Linked DNA regions of Diceros bicornis minor. The protein of the gene in region 2 interacts with the protein of the main gene of each other region in a pairwise test. Links are inferred from orthologs where the notes say so. Each region holds a gene or a part of one and is shown on either strand. Other genes may lie near its edges.

Region 1 (6,958 bases), on a different chromosome or scaffold from region 2:
ATTTAAATTTTTCCTCCGGGTCCATTTTATAGGGAACATGGGCTTGACACCATGGGAGGAATTTCTTTCCGATCACAGTAATAGAAACAACTGTGCTTTTCCTGAATAATTACAAAAATATATTATGGAAACTGGATCATGTAACCAATCATTACTCTTTGCTAGGACTCTATAGAGTTTAGAGATAAATGCGCAGCCCCTCAGTAGCCAGTGCATAAGGCAATATGATGTAGATGTCTGTATTCTAATGTTATATCTGGTTCTATTACTTTCCCTTCATCCTTCACTACTTCATTATTTCCTTTTGTTGTTTTTTATAGGCCACTTCAATCACTTGTAGAATAAAGCAGAAGATAAAGAATGTAGCTTAATATGAGAAAAGCATTCAACTGAAAGAGGCTATTCTGGGTCTATCTCTAACTCAGGTATGACCATACTTTCATCATCTACAAAATTAGAGGTTTAGACGAGGTATCTCTAGCGTTCTGTCCTAAGTTTAAAATTCAGTGATTCATCAATGCCGACTCAAGAACTGGAGCACACTTAGCTCCTAACCACAACACCAGGTTTCCTATGAGGTCTGATTCTCTCTCTACAATGGTAGAAAGAGTATGCGCTTTGAATCACCAAAAAGACTCGGATTCTAATCTAGGTTTAGAGGCTGTATGATTGAGGAAATTAATATATTTGGGTCTTAATTTCTTCACTAGACAAAATACCACGTCTCTCAGGTTTGAGATAATGTAAAGCTCCTACCAGACAGAGGCACTCAAATCTTGCCTCACTCCCACCCCTTTAAATCTACTCTGGCCATAACTGATTCTGACCATAATCATAGAAAAATAAAATGTTGAGATTACGGGAATAAAGAAAATGAAAGGATGGGGCGGGCCCGGTGGCGCAAGTGGTTAAGTGCGCGCACTCCACTGCGGTGGTCTGGGGTTCGCCGGTTCAGGGTTCACTGGTTCGGATCCCGGCGCGCACCGACGCACCACTTGTTAAGCCATGCTGTGGCGGCGTCCCATATAAAGCGGAGGAAGACGGGCATGGATGTTAGCCCACGGTGGTCTTCCTCAGCAAAAAGAGGAGGATTGGCAGATGTTAGCTCAGGGCCGATCTTCATCACAAAAAAAAAAAAAAAGAAAAGAAAAGGAAGAGTTCATCAATTTCAAAAGTAACTTTCTAAACTTTATCCCCCTTCATCTTGCATTTATATTTGTACTTCTATATATTTGTTTATTTGTACTCTACTCAAACACATTTTGAGGAGAGGCAGTGTAAAGGAAAAAATCTCAGGCTTTGGAGACATTTCACCTTCTACACAGCCTTCAGCAAAAATATATAACCCCTCTGAATCTGTCTCCTCATCTCGAAAATGGGGCTAATAATGCCTACCTGGAAGTGCTGTAGGATTTAAATAAGGTAAATTACATGAAATATCCTGGCATAACATGGCAGGCACTAAATATGTATTGGTTCCCTTCTTCTCAAAAAGGTTTTCAAGTTCCATGAGGGCAGAGATCACATCCATTTTATGCACCTCAGTAAATATTTCTTGGTCATTTAATCAACTACTTTTTAGATGTTTGTTTATCACTGGAAGTTTTGGGTTATATGCTGCGCAGCAGTAGAAGGCCTTACCGAAGTGTTCACCCTAATTAATAATTAGGGACCATTTCCCCAGAATGTGCTCAAAATGTAATCTATCTCATCTTCAGAAAATATAAACCCTGTTACTTCCTCCATATTAGAACCAATTATTCTGACGGGTATTCTGTTGAGCCATAGGGTAACATGGCAATATATATTTTTAAAAGCCTTTAAAATAATAATGCCTTTAACCCAGGAATTATATTTCTAAGGATTTATTGTAAAGAATCAAAGATACACTCAAAGGCTCGTGTAAAAGTATGTTCAAAGCACATTGTCTATAATGGGGGAAATGAAAACAGTAGAATGATTAATAAATTATCACATATGCATAATATAGAATAAAAAATGCATAAGACATTAAACTCCATTTTAGAAGAATAATTATATGAGAATTTGCTCAATATAAAGTGAAGAAAAGCTTAAAAACTACATGTAAAATCTTGTAAAAAAAAAAGTGCATGTGTTACAATAAATAGTACACCAAAAAAGTTGACAGTTGTTTTCTTTGATTGGTGATACTAGTGATTTTTGTTTTAGAACTTTCTATATTTTCCAAATTCTCACAAAACGTATGTATGGCATTTATAATTAGAAAAATACCAATCACCTTATGCCCACTTTATTTTCGATAAGGTAAGATTAATATTTAACATGAAGACAAAAAACGACTTTAAACACAACTATCATTACGTAGATTATGGTAATATTTTGTTTCACTTCATTGAGAAAAGAGCTAAAAAAAAAAGTCAGACTTCTAAAATATCTATTGATCTTTCAAAAGGCAGCTTTATGAAGCAGAAAAAGCCAAGAGTTTTCAGGTTGAAACCTAGCTGTGTGGCCCTGAGCAAGTTACTTGCTGACCTGTTTCCTCATCTCTAAAATGGGACCATAACCACCAAATCACAGACTGAGTAGTAAGATTTCCATTATAATAATTGTGAAGGACCCTGGCACATAGTAGGAACTCCAAGTCTGTACAAAGGCTAAATATTCACTAAACGATCCTGAACCAAGGGAAAAACCTACTGAACTTTGGGGTAAATAATCCCAACTGCTTGGCATAAACTACTCTAAAAGAAAATTACTGTGGTTGTCACTGTTCTCCTACATTTACATGGACAATATTAAAATAACAGTTAATATCTACTGAGCCCTTACAGGCCAAGCACAGTCCCAATCTCTTTCACATTAATTATTTAAACCTTACAACCCTGTGGACAGTACTAGAGTTTTTAAAGCCACGTACAACTGAGGAAACAAAAGCCTTAGGGGGTTAAGAAACTGCCCAACACCATCTCCATGAGATGGACGGACGTTCTGAACTCAGGCTGCCTCCCAAGTCTTACCCACTACTCCATATGTCTCGACACGCAACATTTAAATCTCAGTTCCAAATTCATCTCCTTAGGGCCGCAAAAGCAAAAACAAAAAACTTACTACTCTGAGCGCGCTTCTCCGAGAACTGCATTTAGCATTTCAGATCAGAGTGAGCTCAAAGTCTGTACCGGGGGGGAAAAAGAAGTGCGATTCTGACAAACAGCGTTACATCAAAAGGGTCGATTGGTGAAAGAGCAAACATCCCCACGTCCTTAATTACATATGCACATAAAACGCCTGTACCGGGTCTCCGCTGGCGATGCAAAAGGAACAGAGCGACAGGGAAACCACCACACCATATTCTAGACTCAATTTGCCCTCATTCTGTACTTGACTTTCTTCGGTGCGTTTCACCTCTCTTAGTCTGGTCTGGCTTCTCTCACTTCCTTTAAAGTGGTTGAAATGAGCATTACAGAAGAGAGAACAGTCAGGTAGACGGGGACCGTGGCAGAGGAGCCCCCAAATTATACAACCCGTGGGAAAGTGAGGAAGAAACTCGAGAGCCCCAAGTGTGTAAAAGGGGCTCTTAAAGGTGTAAAGGGACAAAGGAAACCCCCCACTGGCTTAGGGCGCGCAATTACGTCCTCTCTATAGGGTACAGAGCATCTCTCGGAAGAATCCTCGAGGCAGGTGACCAGAGGAGAAGCCCGGGCCGACCTCACTGCCTCTGCAGCCTCGCAGACACGCTCCCGGCTGAGTTCAGCCGCCTTTGGTTTCCCACAGGCCAGCGCGCCCCCGGGAAGGCCCAAAAGCGCGCCTTACTACTCGTTGCCAAGAGACACTGCCCAGCCACCTCCTCCAATCAGCACGCATCTCTTTGCGTCCAATCACAGAAGGTAGAAGAGCTGAAGTCGGAGGTGAAAGGTCACACTGCTGTTCGGCGGCCATTTCTTTTGAAGCTCCCTGGTTCGGCTATTGCCGTAGTTGCTGCAGTCACAAGGGACGGACGACAGCTGGGTCGGCGGCGAGTGGCCTGCAGCATTTGCCGGTAGTCGTGATGGTAAGGAGGAAGAGAACGCACGGAGTCGCCGGAGAGAGAGAGAGGGCGGGCGACTAGCCTCGCCGGGCCTGGTGGCTGGTTCGCGCGTTTCCCATTCATCCGCGTGAGGCGCCGCGAACCCGGTCGCCAGCCCTTTTCTCCCTGCTCCGGGGGTCTGAGGCGCGCGCTCCTGCCAATGCCTTCCCCTCCCCGGGAGTGCCCCTGTCCCCTTCCGTCTTTTCTTCGTCTGCAGCTGAGCCTGAGATATCTTTACTGCCTGGGGCCACAGGGTCGGGGTAAAGATGAAGCGGTGTTTCACGTCCCGCTTATCACACTCCAAAATCGGTGTTCTTTCCAGGATGTTGGGGCTTCCAGCCCCGCAGCCCTCAGGAACCCAGAACCCAGGCTTTGGAGCGTTCATTTGTTCGTTTAGCAAATAGTTATTGAGCGCATGCAACCTGCCAGATACTGTTCTAGGCGCTGGGAATATAAGGTGAAAAGTGCTGAAGCGGGCCCTTCTCTAGGTTAACTCAGTCGCGTGTGAAAGACAGACGTTAATCACATAATAACAGAAATATGTAATTGCAAATAGTGTTAAGTACTAAGAAGGAAGCAACAAACAGGATGCTGTGAGGGGGCGCGATGGTATATTAGAAGAGTGGTCAGGGATGGCATCCCTGGGAGGAGGGATTTAACCTGAAACCTAAATGATATGAAATAGCCGCTAAAAGAGCAGGAGGGAAGGTGTACCAAGCACGGGAAACGGGAACATAGGCCCTAAGGCCGGAAAGAAAGCTTGACCAGTTGGAGAAATTGACAGAAAGCCACAGCCGCTTGCAAGAATGGTGGTTATGAGATAGGGTCGGATAAGATCTCTTCAGCCTTATTAGGAGGGCTGGATTCTACTCCAAATGTAATTGGAAGCCATGGAAGTATTTTAAGCAGAGACATATGAGTGATACAAATAATACTTGCCGGGTGGATAATAAGTTGGAGAAAGAAGAGAGTGAAAACTGGAGACCCATTAGGAGGTTATTGCAGTAGTCTACGTGTCTTTTGAGATCACTGTGAATATGCTTATGGTAGACGGGTTTAGTAACCAGGTTTCTGGTGCTTTTCTTTCTTTGGGCTGATGGGTGAGCAGAAGAGTGAGGGAAGGAAAAAGGTGAATTCACTGGGGACACTATTGGTTTGCTGAATAAACATTAAGTGATTGCCCATATGTAGGAGGCACTAAGTCAAGTTAAGACCCAGTCCTAGTTCCTAGAATTCAAGTGAAATTTTGTCAAGTGTAATCTGCCCCCTGCTTCCTTCTGTAGCCTCATATTTGGGACTCTGACAATACTGAATTGTTTGTATATCCCTGAGATCACCTTGTTGCTTCACTCTTACCTCCTTTTGCATAGGCAGCCTCTTCTGCCTAGAGCAGCCCTTTTTCCCTCTGGGAAATACCTCTCATCCTTTTAAAATAGAGGCATTACTTATTTCAGGCAACCTTTCCTTTTCTCTTAATCCTAGATTGGTTTGGTACCTTTGTAAATAGCACATCACCTCTTACTACATTGCAGTACATATAATTGTCTATTTGTATGTGTTTTGCCCCTCCCTCTCCCACTGTGAGCTTCTTGAAGACAGGCAGTGTCATCTGCATTTCTTTCTTTCTTTTTTTTTTTTTTTTACTGCCTTTATCTTTGTTTCTTTATAGCCTGGAACATTGAGTGATGCATAGTAGGCATTCAGTGTTTCTTAAGTGAATAATGAATACTTTTATACTTTTATAAGTTTTGATGTGTTGAAGGTGAAATTGTCTTACTGGGTATTTAAATTTCTCTGATGCTCTTCAACAAATAAAAGTGAAAATTATGTAGTAAAGTGAGAGGGTGTCAAGAGTTTGCTTCATTTTGATACCTTCAAATATTGGTGATTTGGTAGAGGAGGGTAGGTAGAGGAAGCCGATCTAAGGAAAAATAATCAATTGAGTCTTTTTTTTGTTCTTTGTGCAGAGTTTGCCCCTCAATCCCAAACCTTTCCTCAATGGATTAACAGGAAAGCCAGTAATGGTGAAACTTAAGTGGGGAATGGAGTACAAAGGCTACCTGGTATCTGTAGATGGCTATATGAACATGCAGGTAAGCTAAAGAGTTATAAGATCATTAAATGGTATTTATTTTGCTTCATCTTACACCTCAAAGGTTTAGTGTGACTTAGAGGAATACAATCAATTAAATTGACAAACATAAAGCCAAATTTAGGAATAAAGTCAAGGCCAAGGAAGATGTTATAACTGTGATATACTATGTATGAAACATGGTGTTAAACCAAAATTCAGCCGCAGATTTGGCTCCTAGTGGTTAAAATAAGAAGAGCTCAGGCAATTGATTCACAGTGCCATAAGGAAAACACACTAGTTTGTGGAAAAAGTAAAACATTTCCCAGGACTTAGCTCTGAAAGAAATTTTTCAAGTGAAATTCTTTTTTTTTTTTTTTTTTTAAAGATTTTATTTATTTTATTTTTTCCCCCCAAAGCCCCAGTGGATAGTTGTATGTCGTAGCTGCACATCCTTCTAGTTGCTGTATGTAGGACTCGGCCTCAGGATGAACGGAGAAGTGGTGCCTCGATGCGCACCCGGGATCCGAACCCCGGGCCCACCAGCATCGCAGCGCGCGCACTTAACCACCAAGCCACAGGGCCGGCCCAAAGTGAAGTTCTTAAGTCTTTTAATAAATGCTTATGGCACAACATCAGAGTAATTCCATAAAAGCATTTCTTGAGGAAGAAGACAGATCAGCCAAAGGATAAACTAGCTTCTGTAATTATTTCAGCCAGGTTTTTTTCTTTTTATTGTGGTAAAATATATATAACATAAAATTTACCACTTTAGCCATTTTCAAGTGTACATCTGTCATTAAGTACATTCATATTGTTGTGCATCCATCACTATTATCCAT
Region 2 (7,126 bases):
ACACTCTGTCTTCTTAATTCCTACCACCAGCCCTCACAGACATGTCAACCCCCACAGACGCGCCAGCCCCCACAGACGTGCCAGCCCTCACAGACATTTCAGAGGGGCTTGACTGGCTATCCAAAGAGCTACTAATTACAGCAAAATGAAATGAGAATGCATGTCTAATATTTAATCAAGTATTAAGTGCCACAGAGACTCAAAAGAGTGAAACAGAGAATGCATTTTGTTTCCTGACATAATGACTCAACAGAGAGATCTCCACTCCAGCTGGTTGCTCTCCCAACTAGTTGCTGTGGCCAGGCCTCTGAGAAGCTCTCTTCAGGGGGTATTATGGGCTGAATTATGTCCCCTCAAAATCCACATGTTGAAGCCCTAATCCCCAGTACCTCAGAACGTGACTGTATTTAGAGACAGGGCCTTTGAAGAGATGATAAAATTAAGATGAGGCCATTAGGGTGGGCCCTAATCCAATCTGACTGTCTCCTTATAAGAGAGGAAATCTGGACACACAGAGACACCAGGAATGCCTATGCACAGGGAAAGGCCATGTAAGGACACAGCAAGAAGGGAGCTATCTGCAAGCCAAGGACAGAAGCCTCAGAAAAAAATGAAATTACCAACACCTTAACCTTGGACTTCTAGCCTCCAGAACTGTGAGAAATAAATTTCTGTTGTTTAAGCCACCCTGTCTGTGGTATTTTGTTATAGCAGCCCTACCAGACTAACACGGGCGCTTCAAGCAAAATGCGGGCCCTTCCTCCTTCCAGGAGAGTTGGAGACCACCTTCAGGAGCTCACTGTCAGCAGCCTGGGAGCAGAGGAAGTCAGAGTCTGGGGGCCTAAGAGAATGGGCTGTAAGGAAAAGGCCCTGGCATACAAGTGTGGAGATGCCTCTTGACCCTCTCAGGTTATTTCTCAGGATTCCCACAACCTGGCTCCCCCTTTCCTCATCAGGCTTCTCTCGGTACTCCCAGCAGTCCCAACGGAATCCTTTTGTTGGTCGGACTCGTCTCTTTACCAAGTTGGGCTAGCTTTTGCCTCCACAACTAGGCCATCCAACATTTCCTACCCATTCTTCAAGGTACTGCTAAATTTCCTGACCATTTGTGTTCCATAACGATCTCTCCTTTCTGAACCATTTTCTGCACTTAGCAGCATAACCCAGTATAATTGTCCAGTCCGACTGCCGACATCACACAAGATAACATACAGAAGCAAGAAACTAGTTATTTTCGCCTGCTACAACAACACTAGGTACCTTTGAGAAAAGAGAATATGTTTTCTTCTGTTCTGAAAAAAAGTGAGTCTGTCGGGGGAAGACAGAAAATGACTGGGGACACGACACTGCAAAAACATACAAAACTTGTCCAAATTCAATTTTTTCCTAAGTTCTGTCCCATTTACCACTGAAGCCAGCTGCAGAGGTATTTCTTGCCATATGCAACTGTGCACTTGAAATGTTTAGGAGGAATTCTGCCTGCCATTGTGCTGTATGTATTTCTTAAAACAGCTTCCACAGTTCGCTTTTGACCTTGTTAATTTCATTATAAAGAGTATGATGCCCAGATGATTCATTGAAGTATAACTGCTGTTAGCTAGCAGCAAGTTATTAATTCATTAGGCAGGGGATAGTTCAGAAAGTACACTTGATAGGAGAGGATGCAGCCCTTACAACTGTAATATTTAAATAGTCCCTGAATTGCAAAGAAAATGGAAATCTATTTCACAGTGAATAAAAAGGAAAAAGAACTCTTTATGAAATTTGGACTATTTCAAATTGTCATTAGAAACAGCTAAACATTATTAATAAGTCATAGCATTCCTGATTTTAAGAAAGAGAGAGACACACACACTCAAAGATGTAGTAATTGTTCCAATTAAATTCCCTGATGTTCTGAAGAACTCTTATGAATCTGACATGCTCTGGGGAAAGGAATATTCAACAAAGAGCAAGCAAGAGGAAGTAGCGTGGTTCACAACTCTAGAATTTTTTCACTGTAGCTTAAGCTTTAAAAAGAAGCCCTGAATAAATCAGTCCAAGATATGCATCTGAACTGAAATGATCACGTCTTACCATTTTATTGAGACAAATCAACCACACACGGGCAATTCATACCACAACTGCTCCTCGATACTCATCTCAGTACAATTTTTAAAAATTTCCAAAAGCATATTTAAAACTATTTTGTTTCCCAATTCACAACCCAAAAAGTCCCCAACACCTATTTAAGTGAACCACAAAACGCCCAAGTGGGACACAGAATGACAACCATCAGAAGTCTCAGGGGCTATCCAGGAGCATAAGGATGGACAACCTGCACGTTATGAAGAAAACACGACTGCTCCTCGGTTTGCGTGGGTCTCCTGCACCTGACCCTGCGAGCCGCCAAGGGAAGGCCGGGTCTCAGGCACTTCTGCATCACGCGCAAGTAAAACAGCGCCTGGCTAAGCGATGGTTTCCTAAATCAAGCTTTAAGAAACACGCGCCCTGCCCAGACACAAGATCCGGGGTTTTCCAAGTTTGGTCCACCAACCAGCTGCATCAGAAGCATCCCGGAGAAAGAAGGCCGTTACAATGCATATTCCTGAGCCCCAGACCTGACTAGACTAATCAGAATCTCTTGGTTCACGAATACAATTTGACAGCCCCACCCCATGCCCACCCCCACCCCTTCCTCCACCCCCTCGCGGGCTCCAAGGGCCCAGGCGCCCCCGGGCATGCGCACGCGCGTCCCCGGCCCGCCGCCCGGCCCACCCTGCGCGCACCTAAGGCAGTCGTTGTCCCGGACCAGGCGTGCGCTCTCGGTGGGGGGCAAGAGCCCCCCCTCCAAGTAGAGGCCCAGGAGAGCCCCAGAACTGAAGCCGAAGCGCTGGCGAATGAGACTGATGAGATCCGTGACGACTCGGCATCTGTTCAGGTCGACCAGAAGCCAGAAGACAGTGCAATGCGGCGTGGCTGGCGGCGGGTAATCAAATTGAAGCCGTAGCCTAACCGTCTCGGAAGCTGCCATCTTGCTCGATGCTCAACGGAAGCCGAGAGACACCACAGGGCTACAGAGAGGCGTGTTCGGGCGGCCCGCCCCCCTGGAGCCTTTTAACGTGTGCCACCTATCGGTGGCAAGTGGCTACTACAGCCTTCGTGAAGGGCAGGAACGCGGGGCCGGGTTGATTCAATTCTGTTCACGACAAAGCTAGGGAAGCGTATAAATGTGATAGTGCCTTTCTTTCTTTCCTACTCAGCACTACGTAGGGTCTGAATTTCGGCAACTCTCTGGGTTTGTAGTGCTTCTTAGCACTTCTCAGCAATGGTCTTCTAAGATGTTTGCTTATATATGTAAAAGAATTCCAAAAAACACTAACTCCCCATACATTTAGTTGACACAATTTCTCATCATCAAGAGTTGCAAAAGATGTAATTCCTAGCATATTGCAAATATTGACATTTTAAAATAAAACCATTAATCACTCTTTTAAATTAGCCAGTGGAATTTAAATACCTTAGCAGTTTAATACCTACCACCATCCATATTTTAAAATATAAAAATAAGAGCTCTTATTAACCTGTAGGTAAGTAAATCAGAAATTTTACGTCATTTGAATTTCCATGCCATTTGCCCACATAATATGTTAACACTTCCAAGTTTTCATGACAAAGGTATGAATTATGAACTAGTATTATTCCCATTTGAAAATTTTAAAAAAAGGAAGATCAGAGAGATTAAGTAACTTCCCCAAGGTCACTGGACTAGTAAGTGGCTAATATCTTGCAGTCAGTAGATATATTGAAAAAAAATTTTTTTAAGTTTTGTTTTACCATGACCCTAATGCTCTAGGTCTTTTGGATTGAGTTATCATTACTATAATTAGTGGTACACAATTGATAAAAATAGCATAAAACTTCGCACATTTTGGTGCATAATTATTAAATAAGGAAAATAAAATGGGCATGGAAACATATCTCCTAATGAAATATGTGGAGCTGTGTTTTTTTTTTTTAATTAGTCCAAGTCTCTGTGCATGAATATAGCTGAATGAGACAGGGATCCACATCAATTCTGGACCTATTTTTTGTTTTTATAGATGTAAAGTCCTGAGAAAACTTGTTCATTTATGTAAGTAGTTAAGAATGGAAGGACTTAGGTTATTGGCAACATTAGTCAATTTCTTAAACTCCTTCCAAGTTACATGCTAAAATCACCTAGAGATCTTTCTTTGAAAATTCTTTTCAGGGGCCAGGCCTGTGGCGCAAGTGGTTAAGTGTGCGCGCTCCTCTGTGGTGGCCTGGGGTTCGCTGGTTCAGATCCCGGACGCGCACCAACGCACCACTTGTCAAGCCATGCTATGGCGGCGTGCCATATAAAGTGGAAGAAGATGGGCACAAATGTTAGCCCAGGGCCAGTCTTCCTCAAAAAAAAAAATTATTTTCAGTACTCCATCAGCCAACAATTCAGTTAGATTCAATAATGTTAAAAACAAAGAATCAAGAATCACCTGACTTTCAAAAGGAGTGTTTACCCAGTCACTAGGGTCATTCGCTTTCTCAATATCTGGGAAGGCTCTCCTAAGACTTAAGTGATTATTATACTACTTACTCTTAGATTTAGAAGTGCCTGGTTTATGGAGCTAAAATTAGATGAAACTGGGGTAGAAATGACAATTCCATAAAAGTAGGGATTGTTATCAAAGACCTGTATATTCATGACAGATAGATAAAACTGAACACTTGTGAACTGTTATTTAGATTAACAATTTAATCTGATAGTTGATATCAGTGATGTTTATAAATATGCATTTACAGAATTGGAAGAGCATATCAACATTTAAGAAAGAAGGGTTAATCCCAATAAAATTAGGCTGTTTTCTCAAGTTCGGGGCATTACTAAATTATATATATCAATGATTGCTGTTGTGTGCATTATTTACAGTAGAATCCACTACATTTTTCCCTAAAGTTAATCTAAATTTAATAATACCTGATAGAAACAAATAAACAAGTGAAGTAGGTTCCAGTGAGGCTGTGTAGACGGGTTGGGGGAGATGCATTTCTTTTGGGAGAACAGAAACAGGCGTATTCTCAGGCAGTTAGCTTTAGGAAAGAGTCTAGTGAAAGAGGGGAATGTGGAACTTGATTCTCTTAAAACCATCAATGCCTGCCTCCCCTTGGAAACTGTTTGAGTACTCCTCAGGACATATTTACCCCCAGTCTGAAAACTGCTACTCCAAAACATGCAAAATTCCCTAAGCAGTGGGTGGCTTCTAAGTGCTTACCTGGTTATTCATGTTTCCTTCCCTAAAAGTAGGTAAAAACACCACCCTTCCACCTACTACGGGGACCTGAAGTGAGGACAACAGTTTACATCCAAACTATAAATCTAAGAGTTAGATCTAATCTAAAGTCTAATCTTAGATCTAATCTGATTAAGTCAGGTCTAATCTAAGAGTCAGAACCAAAGTGTTCATATTATTTTAATAAGGCTGGGTGGTAGGTACACGATACTGTGTACTTGTCTGTATTTTGCAATATTCATGATACAAAAATTTCTAGAAAGGAATCTATTTTTTGTTATAGGACCCTTTAGAGGTCATTTAGAGGGTCTCTAAAGGGTCATTTGGCAACATTTGTCTCAATTATAAATGCATGTACCCATTGACCCAGCAATTCCACTTCTAGGCATTTATCCTATGGAGAGATTAATAGGGATGTGCAAAGACTCATGTGCAGTGTTTGTTGAAACATTGTAACAGCAAGAGTCAAGAACAAAGTAATGAGCTGGTCTGTGGCGCAGTGGTTCAAGTTCTCCGTGCTCTACTTTGGCGGCCCCGGTTCGCTGGTTCAGATCCTGGGTGCGGACATTACTCCACTCACCAGCCATGCTGTGGCAGTGTCCTATGTATAAAAGAGAGGAAGATTGGCACATCTGTGCCAAAAAAAGAAACAAAGTATATGCTCATCCGTAGGGATTTAATTGAATAAATTAGTGTACATCCATAAAACACTGTGTAGAATTCTACTGTATGGATGCATCATAATTCAGTCAGTTAAATCCCTATTGAGGTAGTTCCATATACACTGCTATGGAAAGGGGTCTAAGATATAATGAGAGAAAAGAGCAAGGAGCAAAACAGGATAATTGTATGATTCTATTTGCTTTCTTTTTTTTTTTTTTTTTGTGAGGAGATCAGCCCTGAGCTAACATCCGCCAATCCTCCTCTTTTTTTGCTGAGGAAGACGGCCCTGGGCTAACATCGGTGCCCATCTTCCTCCACTTTATATGGGACGCCGCCACAGCATGGCTTACCAAGCAGTACTTCGGTGCGCACCCGGAATCCGAACCAGCGAACCCCGGGCCGCCGCAGCGGAGCGCGCGCACTTAACCGCTTGCGCCACCGGGCCGGCCCCGCTATTTGCTTTCTTTTTTTAATTAAACTTTCTAATATGAGATAATTGTAGATTCGCATGCAGTTGTAAAAAATAACACAGAGAGAACCCATGTACCCTTTACCCAGTTCCCCCCTGTGATAACCAGGATATTGAAATTAACACAGTCAAAATACAGAACAATTTCATCATCACAATGATGGTTCATGTTGCTCTCTTATAGCCACCCACAATGTTTTCCATTTCTATAATTTTGTCATTTCAAGAAGTTATATGAGTAGAATCATAGAGTATGTAACCTTTGGTATTGGCTCTTTTCACTGGTTAGTTCTCTGGAGATTCATCCAGGTTGGTGTGTGTATTGATAGTTTGTTGCTTCTTATTGCTGAGTAGTATTCCATAGGATAGATGAACCACAGTTTATTTAACCATTCGCCTGTTGAAGGACAGGTGGTTTGCTTCCAGTTTGGGGCTATTACAAATAAAGCTGCCATAAACATTTATTTACAGGTTTTTATGTGAACATAAGTCTTCATTTGTCTGGGATAAATGCCCAGAAGCGCAATTGCTGGGTCATATGATAGTTGCATGTTTAGTTTTTCACGAAATTGCCAAACTGTTTTCCAGAGTGGCTGTACCATTTTGCATTCCCACTAGTAATGTATGAAGTGATCCAATTTCTCTATATCCTGGCCACCATCTGACATTGTCAATATTTTTATTTTAGCCATTCTGATAGATGTTA
Region 3 (7,571 bases), on a different chromosome or scaffold from region 2:
GGAAATGTTGGGAGTCACTGTTCCCAGATTTGGTGTCAGTTCTGGTACCCATTTAACCGGTAAAAAAAAAAAAAAAAAAAAAAAAGTCGGGGGGTGATGATGATAATGTCTCAACCTGTCAGTTGATTATATTGGTAGCAGAAAGGCTAACAAAGCAGCATTAGAGCTGAGATTCTGCAAGGGTTACTGGCGATGGGCTGAGGTCAGAGAAGTATGCAGAAGGGGAGGATCCCTGGCACACAGGAGGTGCTCAACAAACGTTTGAAAAATACAAAACAATTACAACAGAATCAGAGTGCTCTGCAAACCACACAGTGTGACACAAATACTAGCTACCACTATTGTCCTTAAGCTGGGCGTCTCTCAAAGATAAGCAGCATCTGACAGAAGCTAACAGAAGTAGAGAGGAGGCATTTATTTCAAGTTAGAAGAACCCACAAGAGCAAACACAGTAAGGTGTACCTATCTGATGTGTTCAGACAGGGCAGAGCACTGGTTCTCAATGAGAGGTGACTTTGCTGCCCAGGTGACATTTGGCAATGTCTGGAGACATTTTTGGTTGTCATAAATTGGGAGAGAGTGCTATGGGCCTCTAGTGTCTAGAGGAAAGGGATGCTGCTACACATCCTACAATGCACAGAAGAGACCCCCACAACAGAGAATTAACACGCTCCAAAGGTCAACAGAGCCAAGGTTGAGAAACCCTGGGGTAGAGCAGCAAAGGCAGGTTCAAAATGAGGTTGGAGGAACAGATGGTGACCAGATCTTGGAGGGCCTGCCATGCTCAGGTGATAAACTTTATTGTCTATGTCTGTACTCCTTGAAATGTGATCAACAGACTAGATTCAGACCCCTCCACTGTGCTGCTCCCACATCCAGACTTTCTGGGGTGGGACTCTAAGAGCTACATGTTTTACAAGCTGCCAGGTGATTCTCTACCACATTCAAATTTAGGACGGCTTTGAGCAGTGTGAAGCCAGCTAAAGTTAAAGACCTGACGGGATAAGGGCAAGCTAGGCAGGGAGGCCTGTTAGGAAGGACTGGAACAGGCCCCGACAGCTGAGGAGGGCCTGGCCTATGGCTGAAGGAATGAAAAGGAGATGATGTAAGAGACATTCATCTCCTACCATTCTTCCACCAATCGCTCCACTCCAACTGTGCCAGCCTCCTTGGTGTTCCTAGAATACTCACCGCACGCTTCCTTCTCAGAGCCTTTGCACCTGCTGCTTCTCCCACCTGGAATGATCTTCCTCCAATATCCACAAAGCTCCCGCCCTCTTCCTCTTCAGCTCTCTGTTCAAACATCACCTTATCAACTATGTCTTCCTTAAATACCCTAATACTGTAGTTTCACTAGAACACAGCCCTGCCCATTCATTCTGTCTATGACTGTATGAATCAGCATGAGTCACCATCCCTCACCTTGGTTTATTTTTCTCATAGCACTTAACACCACCCAAATATGGCTTACATGTTTTTGTTTGCAAAACCTAAGAACCATGAGATCTTACCAGGGAATCTGTCTGGTTGTTCACGGCTGTATCCCTAGTGCCTAGAATCATGCATCACACGCTCCAAGTGCCTAATAAACATTTATTGAATGAATGAATAAAACAATGCATGGACATTAGGGACACGAGCTAATAGGATTTAGGTGAGAGGCAGGGCAGAACCATGGACTCGAGCATTGCGGAGGTTCCGGTTTCGGCACTACCACTTGCTAGATGTGTGATCTTGGGCAAACAACAGGCCACTCTGTGGTTCAGTCATTTCATCAGTAAAATGAGGATAATGATAGTCACAGAACCTATCTCCCAGGCACGCATGGAAGCACTTGGCACTAGGCCTTTCCTTACATGCAGTCAGAGCTGAACAAATATTAAGCTCTTGGAGGCACTGGTTTGGTGACCAGCTGAAGGAGGGAAAAGTAGTTTTAGATGCCCCTAAGGTTTCTTGTGCAGGGACTGGAAATTGGGGAAGAAGTCATACTCAGGCAAGAGAAGGGTAGGTGTGGGAGCAAAAAGGACCAAGGCAGGAGGGGTGCCTCTGCCACAGACGTAGCCTAAACCAAGGGTACAGTGTGTGGACCCCAGAGCCAAACTCTGCATGTAAATCCCCATTCCTTCACTCACTAGCTATGTCCGTAGGCAAATTACTTGCACCCCTCTGTGCTTCAGTGTTCTCATCTTGAAAAGGTAGATAACAGTAGTCCTACCTCCTAGGGGCTCCTGTGGTTCAAATAATTAGTTTACACAAACCACTCAGAACAGTGCTTGGCATACAGCAAGTGATGTCTAAGTGTAACCTTTATCATAATGACAGCATAGTGGTTAACACGGTTTCTGGTACAAGAGGTCCCGAACTGGATTCCTGGCTGCTCCTAGCTGGGTGACCTTGGCAAAGTTACTGCAAAATCTCCGTGCCCCCATTCTTTTTCAAAATTAAAATGACCTTCACATCAATGTGAAACCACACAGGCTGCAACAGAGTTAATTTCCGAAGGCTCTCCGCGCTCCACCCTCGGCCTCCAACTCCCCTTCCTGGCCCCCAAGCGCTGAGATCTGCTGAGAAACGTCCCAGACAAAAGCGCCAGGCAGAAGTAATGCACCACCGACCCTACCACGCCTGGCGAATCCGCCCCCCAATCCAAATGCCCACGCTCTGCTCCAGACGCGAGAGCTGCAATTCCCGCTCCCTCCTCCCCTCAAACCGCAAACCAGCCAGTCGAGGCCCCGAGCGCCCCCGGGGAGGGGCCGGGAAGAGGCGGGGCCCGGCTGCGACAGCGCGGCCGAGGGAGCCCGGGAGATGCGGGGGCTGCGCCCGCGCCCCCTCACCAGTAGCAGCTGTTGTAGACACAGGCGTCCCGCGGGGGGCTGGCCGGCTGGTAGTGGGCGGCTGCAGCAGCGGAGACACCCCCCTCCATGGCGGGCTAGCTTGGGTCGGGGCACCCGCTAAAGGCAGACCGACTGGAACAGCCCCCTGGCCGGCCTCGGGGAGGAGCCAGCGTACAGCAGCCCGCGCGGGTTCTCGGTGCGGAGTGGGCGGAGCCTGGGGGGGTGGCCGCTGCTGCAGTTCCCGGGGTAGGCGGGGCCGGGGCAGGGCGAACGGCGCATTTCCCCGCGCGCGAGGCCCTGGCGGGCGGTGCAAATTCCGGAGGGCGGAGCCTGGGCGGGACGCACCGCGCAGGTTCCGGAAGGGTGGAGCCAGGGCGAAGTGGGCGGATCTGGGGTGGGTGAGCGGCGTGAGTTCCCAGTGGGCGGAGCCCGGGACCAGGAGGACCGCGTGTTTCGAGTAGGCGGAGCCCGGCGAGGTGGGTGGAGTCAGGGGCGGGGCGGCGCTGGTGCCTGCTGAGGCGGGGCCGGCAGTGCTAGGGGTGTCGGTAACCGGGAGGGTCCGGGCGGCTGGGGGAGATGAGAGGTCAGTGGCAGGTGGCTTGGAGAAATGTCAGGGGAGGGCTTGGAGTTGGTAAGCCCTTGGACCCTGCACGGCACTTCGTGAGTCTCCCGGAGGAGTCTGAGACCCATCTTCCAGCCTGGGGCGGGTTGCCAGTTGTGGAGGAACCGGATGAGACGCCGAAGACTCGACGTGTGCGAGTGAAATAAGCGAACCTTGTGTGTGAAAAACGACGCTTGAGCGCTTGGAGCCTAGAGTCCGCGGGGAGCTGGGGAGGGAGGAGGGAGCGGGGAGGTTAATTCCAAATACTTCCTCATCAAGGGCGGTTTCAGAGAAGGCTATCACCCCAAAATCTGGCCGTATTGTAACATTTTTTTAAATAGGAAAATTGTACGTACTGGCTCAGAAAGATACGTTGTTTCCTTGATATAGTAAGTAAAAAAAAGTTGAAAAAGAGTCGCGTGGTATCCATTTTGTGTTAATCATGTATTTGTTTATTTGCTGGCAGTCTGGGAGGAAGGACACCAAATTGTTAAAACAGTGTTTATTTCTGGTGAATGAATGGTATGGAGGACTTTCACTTTATAGCCTTCTGAATTGCCTATATTTGCAAAGGTCATATATAGCTGATCAGGGTACTTCCCATTATAAAAACTGAAATTCTTAGGTTGGTTTATAGGCTGTCTACAGATCTCTTCAGTCTCGTGAGTTCTAAAGTACATAAATCCTAAAGACTGAGCATAAATCCTCGTGTTGGTTATCGATTTATTGCATCTCAGCTCTGAATACACACTTCCACATGGGGTTGACTATGATAGGGGCCAGCCAAGTGGCTCCGTGGCCTGTTGGTTAAGTTTGGCATCCTTTGCTTCCCTGGCCTGGGTTGGGTTCCCAGCAGGGATCTTCCTCAAGCAAAAAAAGAGGAAGATCAGCAACAGATGTTACTTCAGGGAGACTCTTCCTCAGCAAAAACAAAACAAAACAAAAGAAGTAACTATGATATAAGTGTAGCTATAAGATATAAGGAAACTCTATATGGTACCTAGGGCTGGTGAAGAGTACTTAAGAAGGACAAATTTATCAACAACAAAAAAACTTAACAACCCAATTAAAAAACAAGCAAAAGACCTGAATAGACATTTCTCCCAAGAAGATATACAGGTGGCCAACAGGCACATGAAAAGATGTTCAACATCATTAACTATCAGGGAAATGCAAATCAAAACTACAATGAGAATGGCTATAATTAACAAGACAGGAAACAACATGTGTTGGAGAGGATGTGGAGAGAAGGGAACTCTCATACACTGCTGGTGGGAGTGCAAACTGGTGCAGCCACTATGGAAAACAGTATAGAGAGTCCTCAACAAATTAAGGATAGAACTACCATATGAGCCAGCTATTCCATTGCTGGGTATTTATCCAAAGAACATGAAAACACGAATGCATAAAGATACATGCAGCCCTGTGTTCATTGCAGCATTATTCAAGACTTGGAAGCAACCTAAATGCCCATCAAGGGACGAATGGATAAAGATGATGTGGTATATATACACAACGGAATACTACTCAGCCATAAGAAACGATGAAATCTAGCCATTTGTGACAACATGGATGGACATTGTGAGTATTATGCTAAGCGAAATAAGTCAGAGGGAGAAGGTGAAATACCATATGACCTCACTCATAAGTAGAAGATAAAAACAACAACAAACAAATACATAGATACAAAGATTGGATTGGTGGTTACCAGAGGGGAAGGAAGGAGGGAGGAGGGCAAAAGGGATGATTAGGAACATGTGTATTTGCGATGGATTGCAATTAGTCTTTGGATGGTGAACATGATGTAATCTATGCAGAAATAGAAGTATAATGATGTAAACCTGAAATTTACACAATGTTATAAACCAATGTTACCACAATAAAAATAAAGAAAGCTTGATAAAACTATATATGTACTGGGCCGGCCCCGTGTTGTAGCAGTTAAGTGCACACGCTCGGCTGCTGGGGGCCCAGGTTCGGATCCTGGGTGCGCACCTATGCACCGCTTGTCAGGCCATGCTGTGGCGGCGTCCCATATAAAGTGGAGGAAGATGGGCACAGATGTTAGCCCAGGGCCAGTCTTCCTCAGCAAAAAGAGGAGGATTGGCATGGATGTTAGCTCAGGGCTGATCTTCCTCACAAAAAACAAAAAACAAAAAAACACCTATATATGTACCTCTCCAAAAAAAAAACAAAAAAGGGCAAATATGAAAGCGGTTTGGACCTCGTTGGAGAAGGCATGGGTTGGCTCCCAGATAGCAGAGAAGTTCACTGGTTTACCCAGGGTGGAGGTGGTCTGGAGTTGCGGGGCAAGCAATAGAGAAGGGGGTACAGGGCAGCCAGCAGTCTCTGCCATAATGTGCTTTCTTTATGCTTTAAACTTTCTCTTATAAATAGGAATTACTTTTTAAATTGAAAAAAATAGATCATATTTTAAATATTCATATGACTTCATGGTTGTGTTGTTGTTAGTGCCATGGAGTCGATTGTGACTCCTAGTGACCCTGTGTTCAGCAGAGTGGCACCCTACCTGGTCGTTTTGTTCCATCCTCTCACATTCCAGGTGGGTCAGGCAATGCTCTACTGCTATTCATAGGGTTTTCGTGGCCAGGTTCTTCTTCTTTGTCTCTCTTAGTCTGAAAACTCTGCTGAAACCTGCCCACCATGGGTGACTCTGCTGGTATTTTTGTGTGTGTGTGTGTGAGGAAGACCAGCACTGAGCTAGTATCTGATGCCAATCCTCCTCTTTTTGCCCAGGAAGATTGGCCCTGGTTAATCTTCCTCTACTTTATATGGGACACCGGCACAGCATGGCTTGACTAGCGGTGCATCAGTGCGCACCTGGGATCTGAACCTGCGAACCCTTGGGCAACCAAAGCGGAGCATGCGCACTTAACCACTATGCCACCGGGCCAGCACCCTCTGCTGATATTTGAAATCCCAGTGGCATAGCTTTCAGCATCATAGTAATACGCAGCTGCCACATTATGACAACCAACAGACGGGTGGTGGTGTTCCCTGACTGGGAAGCAAACCCAGGCCCAGGCCACTGTGGTGAGAGCACCAAATCTTAACTACTGGACCACCAGGGCATAGTAGAGACTATAAAAAGGGATATGGTTTCAGAGGAGTAGGAGGTGCTTAGAACCAGATTTTGACCTACAAACTCCAGTGATCTGGATGAGGAAGAAAGAAGAGATGCATTCAAGGAAGCCAATACCCAATGAAATTAGGATGTTAAAGGGCAGGAGTTTAGAGTAGGAGGAACACATAACAAAAGAAAGTATAAAAAGGGGCCACAGATGTGAAAGAGGAGATTCAGGAAGTCTACAGCACATAATACACCGAGGTTTAATAACAAAAGGGGGGTTTATTTTTTATCGGAGGAGGGAGTATTTTCAATGCTCAATATTAAGAGCTAGAAGAAAAAGGGAGAGATAATCCCATTGCCTGGGACCATATGATATGATGTGATCAGACAACTGAAAGGAAACAAGAATACCCAATGTCTGTTTTGCTTGCATTTTGTCTATCAAAGAAAGTGATTCTCAACCTTGAATGAATAAGGAAAATAGCAGTAAGAGGAAATTAAGACTAAGACGGGTACAGCGGTAGAAAGCACGAAATTGCCTTAAATGGGTTAAAAATCTTCAGACCCAGAAGAGTTATATCCCAGTGTACTGAAAGTGCTTTAGATTATGACCCCCAAATCCATAGATTTAGATTTTCTTATGGATCTTTGAGAAAATGATGGAGGAGATGACATAAGGCTGAATAAATACGACTACTTGCTGTCTTGAGTTTCATAAAAGGAAAAAAAATATGTATTCCAGACACTATACCCTGGAGAACTTGATGCCTATTCCCAGGAGGATTTGTGACCACGAAGAAAAAGTGATTATTTAGGGGGCCTTAGTGGTTTACCGAGCCCATTTCATGCCAAATGGACCTCATTTCGAGGAGGTTGTTGGAAAAATTAATTGATCATTGGAATAGGATTATAGCACAAGCAGTATAATTTGATTCCAAAAAACAGCTGGCCCGGTTTTATTAGTCCTGACTTGTTCGATTAAAAGTGAAGGCAGAAAGGCTGTTTATCAGCTCCTTTACCAGGAAGGACACTGAAGTGGCTCTCA
Region 4 (7,046 bases), on a different chromosome or scaffold from region 2:
TGTCGGTGGATCTCCCTTCCTTGCAGACTCTAACTCCAGCTGCCTCCTGTACAGCCACTCTTTTTTTTTTTTTTTTTCCTGTAACAACCTTTATTCCTCTTCCTCCATAGAATTCACAAAAGGGTCATCTTATCTTTTCAACAATTTATGTTGGCTCATTATGGGAAGTACACTTGCATCTGTACAGCCACTGTTGATGGCCCACAGGCATTTCAAACTTCACCTGTCACCAACCAAACTCATTCTCTTTCCCTCCTAGGTCTACACTACTCACTGTGTTCCACATGTGGAACACTGGCACCACCATCTACCCAATGTTAAGGCAGAACCTGGGAAGCAGGCCTGCCTCGTCCCCTGACCTCACCCCCAACACTCAATCAATTACCAAGTCCTATTCGATTCTACCTCATAGAATATCTCCCAGATCCTTCACAGCTCTGTCTAAGCAGAGCAGCATCATCTCTTGCCTGGATTAATTCAACAATCCCCTACCTGGTCTCCATATACTCCAATAGTTTCTCACTGTCTTTAGAATGGCTTTAAATCCTGAGCACAGCCTCCAAGTCTTTTGTGGATTTGGCTCCTACCTACCTCACCATCATTCATTAATCCATTCATTTAGCAAACACTGAGTGCCTACTATATGTGAAGCACTGTTCTGGGTGCTGAACATATATTAGCGAACAAGAGAAACAAAACTTTTTACCCTCACAGAGCTTACATTCTAATGGGGGAGACAGATGAATAAATATGATATATATTAGGTTAAAAGAAGACACGTGCTATGAAAAAAGAAAACAGGGCAGAGTAGAGACATTCGGGAGTGTGGAGACAGGGGTGGGATGTTGCCATTTTTAATGGAGTGGCCTCTCTGAGAAGGTGAAGAACTAAGGGAGTAAGCCTACAGGCGTATGAGGACAGAAGGAACAACCACGGCCCTAACTCGCCATGTTTAAGAAAGAATGAAGCCTATATGGGTGGAGTGAAGAGAACAACAGGGGCAGATCACACAGGTCTTTGTAGACGGCTGTAATCTTCTAGCTGTTGAGCTGTGAGTGGACTATAGGGGGTATGGGATACTAAATTAGGGGGCTACTGCAATCATCCAGGCGAGACATTGCAGTGGCTTGAACAGGATGGTGTTCCAAGGTGGTGAGAAGTGGTCTGATTCCGGATATATTTTGAAGGTAGAGTCAACAGGATTCCCTAACAGATCAGATATGGACCAAGAAAGAGAGGAGCCCAGGGGTTCTGTCTTGAGCAAAAGGAAGGATATCATGCTATTGACTGAGATGAGGAAGACAGTGAGAGAAGCAGGTTTGGCGAGAAGGTCAGGATTTCTGTTTTGGACACGTTAAAATCGGGATGCTTATTAGACTTCAAATGGGAGATGCCAAATAGGCAGCTGAAATATACGAGTCTGTGCTTCATGGAAGAAAGCAGGACTAGAATACAAAGTTGGGAGAAGTCACCAAATAGATGGTGTTTAAACCATGAAACTGATGACAGCACCAGAGAAGTGACGAGAAGAGGTGCAAGGACTGAACTCTGCAGCTCTTGAATGATAAGAGGCTGGGGACAAAAGAGGAGCCAGAAAAGACTATTGAGAAGTGAAGAAGTAGTGAAACAGGAATGCACTGTCTTAGAAGTCAAGTAAAGATACTGCAGCCAGGAGGCAGGTGTTCAATTGTGTCAAATGCTGCTCTCCGGACAAATGAAAGATGAGATCTGAGAAATGGATTAAGCAACTCGGAGGGCAACACTCACCCTAATAAAAAAATACTGACCACCTTTTAATTAATCTCTCTCCTCTTTAGCCCCTACACAATATTGTTCTTTCTGCTCAGAACACTCTGCACTGGTTTTTCAGGTCTCAGCACAAAGGTCATGCAATCTGGGAAGCCCGACCCCCAAGGTTAATGCTATTGTTATCTGAGAAACTATACTTTCTTTATCGTTGAGATTATTATTATTATTAGAATAGTATTAATGTAATATTATTATAATAATATATTACAATTATTATTTTAATTGTCTCTCTCTTGGGCTAGACTTTAATATCCTGAAATCAGGCACAAGTCTATCTTGTTTACTTCTTTACCCAAACCATCTAAACTAGCACAGTGCGAAGCACGTAGTAGACATCCCATAAGTAATTAGAGAACAAATGGATAAATGCTAGGAAAACTTAGTAGCGTGAGCAATCGCTTCCTGTTGGCATAACTTCGGGGGTGCCTAGAAAGGAGTGCCTAAAACTATGAGTGGGCGTGGAGGGTTCTGACCACCCTAAATTCGCTCCAGGGCTGGGTCTCCCATTCCATTACCTTTGCAAGGTGGTAATATAAACCACGCTCCTTTTATTTTTTATTGCAAGTTATTCCCGTGGCGGACATCTTTCAGCCGTCCACTCCAATTAACCGCGCTCTTCCTCGCACCCAGCCCCCGCCACTCACCCAGCCGCGTGGTGCGCTCCCGCGGCACCGAGGGCCGGTTCCCGGTCCCATGCTCGGCCTCCAGCTCCTCCTGCTGCTGCCGCGCTTGCTCCAAAATCCGTCGGGTCAGCCGGGGCCCCACATACTCTTCCTCCTCTTCTCCGGTTCCACGGCCCCGCCGCTTTTCCCGGGCCCCTGCCCGCACCGCGTCCCCAGCCAGGATCTGCTCGGCCAGGGGCGCATGTTTTTCCTGAACCCCGGCCCCGCGGGCCGCCTTGAATTTGGGCATTTTTCTCGAAAACCTCGCCGGGAAGGTTCACACGTGGGGACGGGAAAAAGCCCTGATTGCGCTTGCGCAGTGAACCCCGCGCCCAACAGGCGAGACGGCGATCACAGCGTTCCCTAGCGTTCGGAGGCCGGGAGTGCCATCAGCGACGCCCCACCCCCTAAAAGAGCTCACTGGTCCTGGAGCAGGACTCCTGAATAAACTCATTGCCTTTAACGTTGGCTTCTCTAAGTGGTGGCAGGCCGAGCCACGCTTTCCTAGCTTCATGGATCTAGGCCCGGCCACATGAGAATTTCTCCCGCGGCAAGCCTGGGCCAGGGTCGGACAGTGACGTCACTGCATGCGTCACCGAGGAGGCGCCTAGACAAGCCCCTGTTCCTCGTGGGCGCGTCGACTGGGCGCTCTGTTTTTGCGTCATTTCCGGAGCACCTCCCTCCAGCGAGCCTGGCGGTAGGGGGCTTCACTTAGCGTGGGCGGCCAGAAAGCGCTGCCTTTCAGCTGTTGGATCCTGCCACCTTCCTGGCCCGACACCATGGGAGTGACTTGGTAGGAGTGCGAGGGATTTTGTGGGGCGGGGCTTGGGGTCGTGAAGGGGCCCTTGGAGCCTGGACTGTACCCGGGAGGAGGAGCGAGATCAGGGTCCGCCGTCCCTCAGGAGCTGAGCAAGATGTCCTCGGATTGTGTGGGTGAGGGGGACACCATGAGGGTCGCGGAGTCTCAGGGCCTGTTTCCTCAGAGATGCGCCCCTTCCTCTTGGAAGGCGGCTGGTAAAAGGTTTTATCCCAGGAACCCATCAATGGTTGTGTACCTCGTTCGTTTTTTCTTGGTCCATATGCCTGCCCGTGGGGCTGTGGTACTGCTGGGGGTGGAACTTTAGGGTCGGAAATAGGATGTCCGGACTAGGATCCATCTGCAGGCAGGTCTGGAGGGGTTGAGGGATAGGCAAGGAGGAGACAGTATCTTTTTTAGGTTTTCGCCTGCTCCTCCTTACAGCCGCTAAATGCAGTTAGACCAGCCTGTATCTGGTTCTAGTTTGACCATTTTAAGATTCTCTGTCTAGAGGTAAAAAAGAAGCTATTGGGAATTAGGAGATTGGGGTTCCAGGCATGTCACCTTTTCAGGATCCCTTCCTACTATGTTTAATTACATGGTTGGTCTAGTTTTTATGGACTTATTAGCTCTAACATGTTATAAGTCTGGGTGGCAGGGAAAGGTGTGGGCCTAATGCTCTTGGAGGCATTAGTTCCAAAATGCTAGATTTCAGGGCTTTTTTTTTTTTTTTTAATACCGGGAAGTGTGAACATCTTTCCAGTCAGAGAGGGCTGGAGGCCAGGATATCTGAAGCTAGTGGCTGTAGGCTTCTTCTATAAGAACCTGTGGGCACTACTCCTCCTGATAACCCAGGTTCTTGAGGTTTGTTGGTGATTGCACCTTTGTTTCCTACAGTTGTCATCAGAGCCTCCTCAGGTTCTCTAGTGTAAGGGGATATGTGAGCGATGGGAATGCAAAGTTTGAAGCACAGAGGCTTGGAACCCTGGAGCCCCTGTTCTTTCAATAGAGAAGGCCTACAGAGGGAAGGGCTCTCTTTTGGGACCATTATCAACTTTCTCCGACTCCTAGGACTTCTGACCTCAGTAGCATCAGTTTAGGGAGTCTCTTATATTTCAAAATAAGGCACATCATTATCATTGCTTATCAGTGCTTTTTCTTTCTTTTTTTAAATTTATTTATTTCCCCCAAAGCCCCAGTAGATAGTTGTACATCATAGTTGCACATCCTTCTAGTTGCTGTATGTGGGACGCGGCCTCAGCATGGCCGGAGAAACCACGCGTCGGTGCGTGCCCGGGATCCGAACCCAGGCCGCCAGCAGCGGAGCGCGTGCCCTTAACCGCTAAGCCACGGGGCCGGCCCTATCAGTGCTTTTTCTTATGGAGAGTAGTGACAATTATTAGCAACGTCAGGACTCTACTTTTATATCTTCATTTGGTTGACTGATCCTAAAGTAATGCAGTGTCTCCCAACATTCACTCACATATGATTCTCCTTAGGACTTTTGTATAGCCAAGTACCAGCTCTACTATTATTTATTAGTGTTTTCTTTTAAATCTATTTATTTTCCTTTAAAGTATTTAACAGGCAACTGTGTCCCTAGGGAGGCAGTCCAGTATGGTGGTTAAGAGTGTGGACATGGCGCCAGCTTGCCTAGCTTTGAATCTTTGCTACAGCACACCAAGCTGTGTGACCTTGTGTGAGTTATTCAACCCCTCTGTACTTTAGTTTCCTCATTGGTAACAAGGAGATAAATAATAGCACATCTTATAGGGCTGTTGTGAGGATTGGAAGACTTAATTCATCTGAAGGCCTTTGGACACTGCCTGGCACATAGTTTGCGCTTGGTGATTTTTACCCACCCCTCTAAAGGGGAAGCCAATTTCACTCACCATAGAAGGAAATCTTGGAAATAACGTTTTTTGTTTCATTGTTTTGATTAAATTCTTGTACGTACTGTTGCCTCTCATCCCCGAAGATTATAAACTCGAGGCTTGCTTTCTTTTTGATCTTAGGGCTGTCGAATAGAACTTTCTGTGGTGATGGAAATGTTGTATATTAGCAGTGTCCAGTACCCTAGCCCCCAGCCACTATTGAGCTATTGAGCCCTTAAAATGTGGTTGCAGCAGAGGAGTTGAATTTTTAATTTAATTTGTTTTATTAGTTTAAGTGTAAATAGCCACATGTGGCTTGTGTCTGCTGTACTGGACAGTGCACGTTCAAAGTGTTGTAGAGTTGGTAAAAATACACTATCCCCAAACTGAGGCTTTCTCCTTCATACAGTCAGAAGTGAAAGAATCACAAAGCTCATTATACAACTCAGTGTTATCGAGGGCTCAGTCTGTGTGCCACCTAAAATTTTCTCATGCTACGCTTGGGAAGTGCTGGTGTGATAGATAGGAAGTTCACTGCACTTCTCTGCGAGTCCTGAGAGATGTCCTCAGGGACCGTGGGCCTCTATTTCCTCTGTTTTAAAATGAGGGGGTCAGGGTCAGTGGTCTCGAAGTTAATTTCTGGCCCTGATGAGCTGTGATTCTGTGAGTGAGTGGTTCAGCGAGTGCACATGTGTCATTGCATATTGATGGTTTGGTACTCTCCCTTCCAGTGTGTCCCAGATGCCTGTCGCTGAGGGCAAGAGTGTCCAGCAGACCGTGGAGCTCCTCACCAGGAAATTGGAGATGCTTGGGGCAGAGAAGCAAGGAACATTTTGTGTGGACTGTGAGACCTACCACACGGCTGCCTCTACCCTTGGCAGTCAAGGTCAGTGAGAAGGGTCTGTGTGATGGCTGGAACCTGGCTTGGAGTTGATAGATGTTCATGTTCATTGAAATCTTTCTGTTCTTCTGCTAAAGGTGGTATTCTTAAACGTGTGGCACAGGTGTTTCTTAATTCATTAATTCTTGGTCCTTCATCTCTTAGACTGGGCCTATGTTTTAGTCTTTTTGCACTTTGCATTCTTAAAGCCGTGTTTCTTGGAGGGTTGGTCACTGACTGACTAAATCATTTGAGTTACTTGTTAAAGGTGCAGATTCCTGGCCCTGCTTACCGACTGACTGGTGCTACAGGCCTCATAATCTACATTTTAACAACCTTCCCAGATGATCTTTATGCAGTCTGAAGTTTGAGAAAGTCTCCTTTTAGGCTCAGAAGTCTTCGGATATGATTCTTGTAGAGCTTTAGAGTTTTCAGAATTTTCTGCAGAAAGGCTTCCTGTTGCCCACACCTAGCCAGTGGCCTTGGCTACCTCATTAGCATAACCTTGACCAATGAATCATCTCTTGTTTTAAATGTATTGAGAGGTGAGATGGGCTGTGGATGGTCATGGTGGTAGGGAGGCAAAGAGGATCTTTGAATATGACTTAGGGAACCTGAGTTCTCTTAGTCTTGGCTCTGCAGTAACTTGACCTTGGACAGTTCCATACCAGTGATTAAGAGCCTAGATCTCGGAACCAGGTAACTGAGTCCTGGCTCTGCTAACTGCAACTTTAGCTAAGTCCCATGACCTGTGACTGTTTCTATGTCGGTCATTTGCCTCTTTTCCCATAGATCTCATCCCTGCCCTTGACCTGCACACTACAACTGCCAGGCCCCCTTTCAGTTACCTTGGGTCAGTGAGAGGCACTGGGGAAGATTAGAGGATGGGAGAAAGGGAGACCACAGTATTGCACTCCCTCTCCCTCTGCTTTGGGCAGTGGTTATGGCTGTGACTCCTCCTTGCTTCTAGCTCCTGCAAGGCAGCCTTTGTTCCTGGCTCTTATAACAGCATATCTTCTCTTTTT

Evidence for each region.
Region 1: the proteins of COIL (region 2) and SNRPF interact in binary tests that used the Homo sapiens proteins (3 or more experiments, as listed by UniProt). The two-hybrid records come from large-scale screens. The link is inferred for Diceros bicornis minor from reciprocal best matches to the Homo sapiens genes COIL and SNRPF.
Region 3: the proteins of COIL (region 2) and NTAQ1 interact in binary tests that used the Homo sapiens proteins (3 or more experiments, as listed by UniProt). The link is inferred for Diceros bicornis minor from reciprocal best matches to the Homo sapiens genes COIL and NTAQ1.
Region 4: the proteins of COIL (region 2) and BYSL interact in binary tests that used the Homo sapiens proteins (3 or more experiments, as listed by UniProt). The link is inferred for Diceros bicornis minor from reciprocal best matches to the Homo sapiens genes COIL and BYSL.

Annotation. Positions count from the first base shown.
Region 1 is NC_080764.1:26,526,257-26,533,214, reverse strand, and holds the start of SNRPF (small nuclear ribonucleoprotein F), read left to right. Parts: upstream 1-3,949; 5' UTR 3,950-4,027; coding exon 4,028-4,030; intron 4,031-6,012; coding exon 6,013-6,138; intron 6,139-6,958. UniProt on the Homo sapiens protein: Plays a role in pre-mRNA splicing as a core component of the spliceosomal U1, U2, U4 and U5 small nuclear ribonucleoproteins (snRNPs), the building blocks of the spliceosome.
Region 2 is NC_080757.1:30,550,636-30,557,761, reverse strand, and holds the start of COIL (coilin), read right to left. Parts: upstream 3,026-7,126; 5' UTR 3,014-3,025; coding exon 2,769-3,013; intron 1-2,768. UniProt on the Homo sapiens protein: Component of nuclear coiled bodies, also known as Cajal bodies or CBs, which are involved in the modification and assembly of nucleoplasmic snRNPs.
Region 3 is NC_080760.1:38,988,864-38,996,434, reverse strand, and holds the start of NTAQ1 (protein N-terminal glutamine amidohydrolase), read right to left. Parts: upstream 3,018-7,571; 5' UTR 2,924-3,017; coding exon 2,835-2,923; intron 1-2,834. UniProt on the Homo sapiens protein: Mediates the side-chain deamidation of N-terminal glutamine residues to glutamate, an important step in N-end rule pathway of protein degradation.
Region 4 is NC_080753.1:23,515,726-23,522,771, forward strand, and holds the start of BYSL (bystin), read right to left. Parts: upstream 3,011-7,046; 5' UTR 2,722-3,010; coding exon 2,454-2,721; intron 1-2,453. Other genes in the region: MED20 (mediator of RNA polymerase II transcription subunit 20), read left to right, coding at 3,251-3,264, 5,873-6,027. UniProt on the Homo sapiens protein: Required for processing of 20S pre-rRNA precursor and biogenesis of 40S ribosomal subunits. May be required for trophinin-dependent regulation of cell adhesion during implantation of human embryos.